2 linked regions of the Yarrowia lipolytica genome follow. The protein of the gene in region 1 binds, or shares a complex with, the protein of each later gene. Links are inferred from orthologs where the notes say so. Each region holds a gene or a part of one and is shown in the gene's direction. Other genes may lie near its edges.

Region 1 (4,990 bases):
ACCCCGTTTTCCCGAGAAACACTCGAAATCAAGACCTTGAAACGCATCCCCAAAGCTCGTGGAATCCATTGTCATCGTCGATGCACCGAAACGCCGCTTTGGGAACGGTTATACCAGACACACAGCTGGGAAGCAGGTAGACACTACAATAATAGCAAGCCCTGCCACCAAGTAGGGACGGGCATGATCCACTGTTGATGAAGCAGACCTGAAAGGCGAAGACATACTAGCCTGCCGTCCGACGAAAGCGAAAGTTACACAAAACCACAATCGCCCGCATAGCACCTTCCCCCCTCGATCGCCGCTCTTCTCTACAGACTATGCTCTCCCGGCCTCGGCCCCTTGTAGGTTCATGCAGCATTATGCTGGACGAGCTGATCAGACGTTTGAAATACGAGAAAAAGAAATATGAGCATTTTGCACACCTTCTGGAAAGGTGGAATGATGTGGCCAATGTGGCATGTCCAACATGTCCCTCAAACCTGACATCTGCTGTGTGCTACATCGGATATGCAACTACCATACAACACACCCCTTCTGATTGACTGGTGCCTAACCTCTTGACTGACGGACTGAACAAGAGCATCATAGTCACAATATTTATATGATAGCCGAAACCAACAACGGAATCAATATACTAGGGATTCCAAGCTGGTTCAAACAAGACCGAAATATCTACCACTCACCTCAAAACATGTCTCAATATGTGCTGGTGTTATGCGCCGGTTCACCGTTTAGACGGGACTCGCACCGTACTTGCAGTAACTTCCTGGTCGAGATCCAAGACATAAAAGATCACGCAATGGACCATGCTACCAATATGGACGTCGATTGAGCTTGAACCATCGTTGCAAGTTCGATTCATGAGTAACCTACCCATCTTACCCAATCAGTGGAAGATTTGTCTACATACTGTACTGCACTGGGTACAGATGTTCCAATGCCCAGTGACTCATGTACCGGTACTTGTACGGATGAGAACTGTCATCACTAATACACCATATCTCCTCCAGTCACGCGTGTATCGTGTCTAGAATGTCGATCCACCTGTCAATCGATCCAGTAACCCTCGCCATCCTCGTATTCAATGTTGCATATCCACCCTCTTCCGCCACCTACTTAACGGCCTCTCCATAACACCAAATAAATTCACTATTAGCAAACAAGCTACCTAAAATATTACATTACCACACATCATGATTCGTCCTACCGCTTGTAGTAGCCACTGGGCACTGGGGGAGCCCCAACGGGCTGCTGGATACCATTGGTGTTAGGACCTGCGGATCCTGCACTGCCAGGCACACCGGCGGTGGAAGCAAAGGGATGCTGGGAATGGGGCTGGGGCTGGGGCTGAGGCTTGGGGACACCAGCGGGCGAAATGCCAGCACTCTGACCACTGCTGGTGTTCTCCTTCAGAGCAAGAAGCTGCTTGGATCGGAACGCCTCGTAGTGCACATGGGCGGTAGTCTCAATGAGATCCTGCAGATGGGAGCAAATGAGGAAGTTTCGCAGGTAGGGGAACTCGCAGTGAGTCTCGTCCTCCACGTTAACAACACCCCACCGGGTCTTTCGTCCTCGCACAGTCTTGCCCTTCACAACAACGTTCTTGTCGGAGCCAACCACAGCAAAGGGGATAAACTGCTTGATCTGTGCGTTTTGATACTGTTCGTCCTCGTCGTAGTCGGCCGAGTCCAGAGGGTACAGCTTGAGTCTGTGGTGGGCAAATTCCATCTGCACGGTCTCCTTGAAGGCCTGTCGTTCGGCCAGGGTTAGCGAGTCGCTCTTGGCGATGACGGGCACCACGTTGGCAATCTCAGTCAGCTTTTTGAGCACGACTATGTCGATGGGCTTGAGACCGTGGCCGGTGGGCTGGATGAAGAAGAGCACACAATGCACCCGGGTGTCGGGAAGATGCTTCTCTCGCTGCGCAGTCAGCTCCTTTCGAAGGTACTGGCTGTGCTGGTCCTTGATGTACTTGGTGATGGGGTCCCAGCACTTTTCGTTGTTGACCTGGTCACCGTAACCAGGGGTATCGATGATGTTGAGCTTGAGACGCACGCCGTTCTCCTCAACCACATGACTGACGCACTTGATGTCGGGGGTCTTAGTGATGGGTTCGCCGGCCTCAGTTCGTCCAGAAGAAGATGCCAACTGCGACGCAAACAGAGTGTTGATGAGCGTGGTCTTTCCGAGACCAGACTGGCCCACAACCATCAGGTTGAACTGGAACCCTCGCTTCAGAAGCCGTCGCTCAATCTGCTGGGTGATGGAGTCGAACCCGACCTTGCTGCCGGGCGTGATGGTTTCGGTGGACATCATTTATGAGTGGTTGTGTGGTGGTACAGATGTGTGTTGGTGATACGTACAATAGGGTGTATGTAATGCGTGTCGCGTTTCCCCTGAACTTTAATTTTCAAGTTGGAGGCCGGGTAACGGGAGGGAATGTGTGAGATTAGCCAAATGTGCCAGACATGGGTGATTTGGAGGGGGCTGAGGATAATATTTGATCAATGACTCGATCACGTGATGTTTATGAGATTAGGAATGATTTCAATTTATATTATTAAGCAATTGGCGAGAATCAGTCTTGTTTGTTGCGACTGACGAGGTCGTAGCTAATCTCAAGACAAGACACAGTAATACAACCAGAAATAAGTGTAATGAACGACCTAAAGTCCCCAGGTGATAAAAATGGGGTTTATATAGGGATCTCACCTTTTTTGATCTTGTTTTTGTGTCCCTGGAGGCCTTTCAGACGCGAACTTGCGGTTGAGCGACTATTTTTATTTTATTATGGTCTCTTACTGATGACCAATAGATTCTTGAGATCATCTACTTCTCAACGACAACAAACAAGCGTTATATATCACGAGAATCGGCTCATCGACATATATTCTCCATTCTCTTCGTCCTCCAAATTTAAACCCTAACCCAGTAACCACAGTGTTCCCATCACGTGACTCTGAAAAATCCTCCCAACCATATTCACCACCTCGAGTCTGAGATCATCACACAACACACACGATCCAAAATGGCTCTACAACTGACCAAGCCGTTTGTGGCTGCTCTCAGCGCCCAGATTCCCGTGGCCGTGAGCGTCACTCTTGCCCCCGGTCTTCTGGGAGGTCTTTTCGGAGGAGCCCAGCATGATCTGGATCTGGAGACCCCCAGCCGAGAGGTGGATCTGGAACAGCATAAGCATGAGGACTGCGACCACGGCATTGTGTACGCCGTGCCCAAAAAGAAGGTGTCGTACGGCCAAAAACGAAAGCGATTCCTCGCTGACACAAAGGCCCTCAAGCCCTTGACTAACCTCAACCGATGTCCTGCCTGTGGACATGTCAAGCGAATGCACACTCTGTGTATGCACTGCTTCTACGAGCTGCGATCCTTCTTTGCCAAGAAGACTCGAGACGCTGAGTCGCTGGTGGACAAGAAGCAGCCTCCCACTCTGCCTGCTCACGACGAGGCCTTTATCTACAAGAACAAGATTGACCGACCTCATTACGACAAGCTCAAGGATACCGCCTCCTATGTGCTCAAGTATCCCCGGTCTCAGGTGTACAAGAAGAAGGACAAGTCGAGAGACTAATGAAAACCCATATGTATATAGTTAAACGATGAACTCGATAATTGAGGGTGTGGGGGAGAGGGTGTAGGGGACAATTTGAGAGTGTGTGATCACTGGATGACATTGAAGGAGTTAACCTGGGGACGTCTGTGACAAACAATGTACCGCAAACACAACCACCCTACTGTAGATACTGTACTTTACTCGTACTGCTCTCTGTCCCATTACTCAGCTCTTTTTCCCAGCGGGTAGTGTAGTTATCAGTACGAAAATATCTGTGGATCATAATAGCAAAGATACGACAATAAAAACACACCTCATTCATCTGAACAGCTTTTGTTTGCTCGTGTTCTTTTCTCTTCTTTTTTTTTTTTTTTTTTTTTTTTTTTCACGTATCACTCCCATATTAAAACCGCTCCACAACAAAGTTCAACCACCAGAGAACATCACCAACCTGATCAGAACCTGCATACACACACGCAACCACAACACGATGGAAAAAAAGCTGGTGACGATCCTGGATAAGGTCAGTGGCCACTACAAGACCGATTACACCCGTCTAGAGTCAAAAACGATCGAAAAAAGCGGATTCCGACAATGGTGCGAAAAATACATGGACGCCAACCCCACCGACAACCTTGATAACATCTTCCGACAAGTTATGTTTGAGAAGATCATGCTACAACCAGAGGACAAGAGAGGACGATCTCTAGCTGCTCTACTCGACTGCATCACCTATGAGTCTCAAACAACTTCATCCGACGAGAAGCCGCTTCTAGAATCAACTTTGACACTTGCTCTGGTCGAAGACATTTTCGACATTCACACAGTCGACTGGTGCCGCCACTTTTGGACCCACTACCTGGTATCACGTGAGGAACAGCTGATGAACGTGTCACGAAACCAGGCGTCATCGAACTCGGTGACACGGCTTAGTGGCCGCAAGGCACCAGGCACCACCCTGATTCGACTGGCCAATGCTCTGCTGCGACGAGTGAGTAAGTCACGTGATGCCGTTTTTGCCGGCGAGATTCTTATTTTTCTGTCACGTGCTTTCCCGCTGAGTGAGCGATCTGGCTTGAATCAGAAGGGCGAGTTCAATGTGGAGAACATCACTGTGTTTGAAGGATACGAGGGAGCCAAGGAGCACAAGGAGGTTGATGAAGATGAAGATGAAGATGACGATGAAGATGACAATGACGATGACGATGAAGATGAAAATGAAAATGAAGACAAGGATGTCGATATGGGCGTGGATGAAATGAAGGAAAAGGTGAAGGAGAAAACTGCTACTCCTGCCACCTCCAAGGAACATACACAGGAGCCGTCTGACTCGCCATATGCACTGTTTTGGGGTTTACAAAAGTATTTTGCCGATCCTACAATTTTGCTCAATTCCAAGGAGCCAGAAGTTGAGAT
Region 2 (3,864 bases), on another chromosome or scaffold:
ACAATACGTACGTGTTTGACAGGCCCAAACTTGATGTAATGTTCCTCCAGGTCGTTTTCAGTCACGTCGAACGCCAGACGCGCCACAAATAGCGTCTTGAACGGATCGCCCACAATCTTGTCGTCCTTCTTGGGATCCCATGCCTCTTTTCGTTCCTGCTGGGTCACCTTTTGGCGCTCACTTTTTAGCCGCTTCTCTCGCTGCTGTTTGACCAGCCACGACTCGGTCGGCACGTATTCCGAATCGGGCTGCTTCAACAGCTCCATATACGCCGAAACGCCTGAGATTTTCTGCGTTCTTCGGTCCTCAGGAGCATAGTCGATCGGCTCCAGGTACCGTGGCTCGGGACACTCGGGGAAGAGCCGCTGGATGTGAGGGGGTAGCCGTTCCAATTCAGCCTGGGTTAGCCTTGTTGTTGATTGCAGAGCAAATGTCGCGCAGATACTCACCATGATTATGGATGCTGTTAGTGTGTGTAGTGATGTTGATGGTCGTGATGTTGGTTTGAAATATTAGTGTTGTGCATCAGAAGTTTATCTGACATCGTGAGTAGGGTGAAGTGAGATGGGATTGAAGAGAGTTATACAAGAAAGGTAGAGAAGAAGTAAATACAAGGGGAAAGCGAACAGAATATCGTCGCTAGTTTGTTTTTCTAGGTTTTTTTTTGGATATATTCTTCTGAAGAAGACTTTTCAAGACGTGATCGAGTTTTTCAGACCTACAGTGTGCCCCAGGAAGAATCAGCGAGCTACAAGGCTGTTTGCAATAACAAGTACACTGTACTTGTACTATACTGACCATCCGCTCATACTACCGTCTCCACCCTCCCCTTGATACACAAATAAATACTTTACTATATACATTGCTGCTCTTTTGTCCTTCTAATCACAGGTCAGGAGGAAAGAGAGCAGCAGCAACAAGACCGGGACGCTCGGTGGCCAGAAGATCAAAGTTCTTGGCTCCGTTGGCACTGTCAGAGATCTCGACGGAGATTCCCAGAGAGTTGAGATAGTTTCGGGTCTTGGGCGACAGCACTCGCGACTTCTTTCCCAGGCCGAAGATGAGCAGCTCAGGACGAGGGTAGACAACCTCAAAGACACCCAGTGCAGCAGGATCGATTTCAACCAGACCGGTATCGAGACCCTTGACGCACTCGGGAGTAAGGTTCCAGGCCAGCACCTCAGAAAGGCCCATCAGAATGGCTCCAACGGGCTTCTTTCCGCTGGGAGACTTGCTCTTGAGCACCTTGTCGTCCTTGAACACAAAGCCGTTGGAAAGCACGGCCTCCACGTTGTTGTGGGCCGTCTCAAGATCGCCGTAGAGATCGTATTCGGCCAGAGCTCCTCCAGGACGAGCAGCCGTGTTTTCGAGCTTTCGCTTGGTTCGCTCCATGGGTCCCTCGCCCTTGAACCACGGGTTTTCGAGCTTGACGTTTTTCGCACACACCCGAGAGGTGTGGATCGAGCGGGACAAGATTCCGACGGCTCGTGTTCGCAGCATTGTTTTTGTCGTGAGAGCGAGTGAGTTGTGGTGTTCAAGACGACTTCAGCTTGGTCTTGATTCGCTCTGCATTGGAACCTTGTTGATGACTTCAGTGGCGGTAGTCGAAAGAGGCGGGAGAAGGCTAAGTAAACGTTTGACAATTAGCTAACTAATAAATGCCCCAACATTAGTAACTGTATTTGGCTTAGTTGAACTCTGAAGGGCAGATCAATACCCCCTCAAGCTCTTCTAATATTGGTAATTATTGTATGGAAGAATCCACACTGTCTCTATTGTTGTTTTTCTTCCATTTAAAATGCTCTCCTTCATATTAATTGTCTCTCATTACCAAGAATTACTCCTCCCCCCCTTCGGGCCTCCACAGTTACCCTACCTTTGCAAAATTACAGGAGCCTAAACGCAACGCACAGATCAATCTGAAATATCTACATTCAACACACAAAAATGTCGGCTCGACCAGCTTACCAGACTGTTGCCCGAAACCTCAACGGTGTCGGCAACTTTGTGCTTCAGTGCAAGAAGGTCACTTTCCGGTACTGCAACTGGGGTGGCTCTTCCGACGGAATGAGGTGAGTATCACAACGGGGAACTGAACTGTGACTTGGACACGGACATAGATGGAGGTACAGACATGCCAGTGGCACAAGTGGGGTGCTAGATGAAGAGCAGAATGCTACCCAGTGCGTGTGGTGTGACGTGTCATCTTTGTTTGGTCTTTGAATTCAGACATCCACCGCGTCTCAGATCACACTAACACAGACAATACCTGGACAAGAACCTGCAGAAGATTGCTGCTCAGAACCCCGAGATCGAGTTTGTGGCTGTCAAGGACATTGGCCACCCCTTCATCCGAGGCGAGTTTGTCAACGGTGCCGAGAAGACCATCTGCTGCAAGAACAAGCATCCCCGATTCATCAACGGCAAGTTTGAGATGCTCAAGAGCTCCGACGGAGCTCCCCGAAAGCAGATGAAGAGCCCCGTTGAAAGTATAAACGAGAGTGTCCGAGGTATCTGGTCTCCTTACCATACCGACCCCAAGGCACGACACAAGATTTAAATGTACATAGTAAATTATAGCATAGCGAAAGATGGTGAAAGAGCGAAGGACAATGGCCGATACGAATCGCCATAGTAGAGGTATGGAGCGAATGGTGGTGTGCAAGTGGCTTTTATACCATAACGGTTGTGACACAGTAGAAGCTCGTTTGTTGAATTGTGCGGCACTCCGACGATCTCTAACTACGATATATCGTGGAGCGCAAGTGAGAAGTACTTGTACGAGGCAAACAAGCGGTTGTACTACAAGTGTTCGTACGAGTACAGTACTCATAAGTACAGAACTTGTACCAACTTGTATGAAGTCACTCAATTACTATAGGGATGAACAGAAACACAACTACTGGAAGCAAAAGGGAGTGAAAGGAAACAGAACAGAAAACAGAAACAGAAACAGAAACAGAAACAGAAACAGAAACAGAAACAGGAAACAGAAACAGAAGCAACCTGAATGTTGTCAAAAGGATACTTGTAGTAGATTCAGCAAGGTGCAAGGTAACATCAACCTCGGCTACAGTAAACTTGGGAACTTGATTGAAGCTGTGTACATCACACAGTCTGGAATAACTTATTTCTATGCGTGCCTTTCCTCCGTCTATTTTACATGCCCAAAGTGGCTGCTCTCTTGTATCTTATGCTTTGTGTTGGGGGTCGAGCTGGTCTATGTCAGCCTCTCTATCATGACAGAAGGGATGCTCGAGTGCCTGTTCTGGGGTCATTCGCTTTTCGGGGTTGAGTGCAAAGAGCTTGTCTAATAGATCGATCAGATGGCCCTGTAGGATGATATCTGATCCGGTCTCTCTGCATTTGCCCAGCAGCTTTTTGACAGGCAGAGGAGCCTGGTTTTGTGTGTATCGTAGTGTATGTGTGATCATTCGTCCAGTATGGGGGTCCACTTCGTCGGACTTGAAGTCGAGGTTCTCGTCAAAGTACTTTTCCGTCAGCTTGCCTTTTTTAAGCTGCTTGTGGCTAAACTTGCCTCGCACGTCCATGATACACTTGATCATGTGGTTGTTGGACGAGCCTGCAAACAGAATACATCCGGTGTACAGCTCGTAGAGAGTGCATCCAGCGGACCACATGTCGACTCCGTAGTCAAAGGGCGCGCCCAGAATGAGCTCGGGGGCCCGGTAGAACCGCGATGCAAGGTACGGCATGGGTTCCGTCCACGCCTTTTGGTCCTTGTTGGCCTCCACGGCCGAACCAAAGTCACACAGGCGAGTGGACGACCGTTTGGCGTTGACCAGCACATTATCTGGCTTGAAGTCGCCATGCAAGATTTGGCATTCACGCAGAATTTGCAGA

The links. The genes of interacting proteins can lie anywhere in the genome.
Region 2: YALI1_C29148g (region 1) and YALI1_E13823g share a complex: the UniProt entries of both Saccharomyces cerevisiae proteins name them as parts of the mitochondrial large ribosomal subunit. The link is inferred for Yarrowia lipolytica from reciprocal best matches to the Saccharomyces cerevisiae genes MRPL32 and MRPL51.

The regions. Positions count from the first base shown.
Region 1 is NC_090772.1:2,911,793-2,916,782, forward strand, and holds YALI1_C29148g (mitochondrial 54S ribosomal protein bL32m), read left to right. Parts: upstream 1-3,031; coding exon 3,032-3,592; downstream 3,593-4,990. Other genes in the region: YALI1_C29141g (uncharacterized protein), read right to left, coding at 1,207-2,319; YALI1_C29158g (uncharacterized protein), read left to right, coding at 4,065-4,990. UniProt on the Saccharomyces cerevisiae protein: Component of the mitochondrial ribosome (mitoribosome), a dedicated translation machinery responsible for the synthesis of mitochondrial genome-encoded proteins, including at least some of the essential transmembrane subunits of the mitochondrial respiratory chain.
Region 2 is NC_090774.1:1,380,351-1,384,214, forward strand, and holds YALI1_E13823g (mitochondrial 54S ribosomal protein mL43), read left to right. Parts: upstream 1-1,947; coding exon 1,948-2,072; intron 2,073-2,262; coding exon 2,263-2,560; downstream 2,561-3,864. Other genes in the region: YALI1_E13808g (uncharacterized protein), read right to left, coding at 1-452; YALI1_E13818g (uncharacterized protein), read right to left, coding at 886-1,500; YALI1_E13848g (uncharacterized protein), read right to left, coding at 3,192-3,864. UniProt on the Saccharomyces cerevisiae protein: Component of the mitochondrial ribosome (mitoribosome), a dedicated translation machinery responsible for the synthesis of mitochondrial genome-encoded proteins, including at least some of the essential transmembrane subunits of the mitochondrial respiratory chain.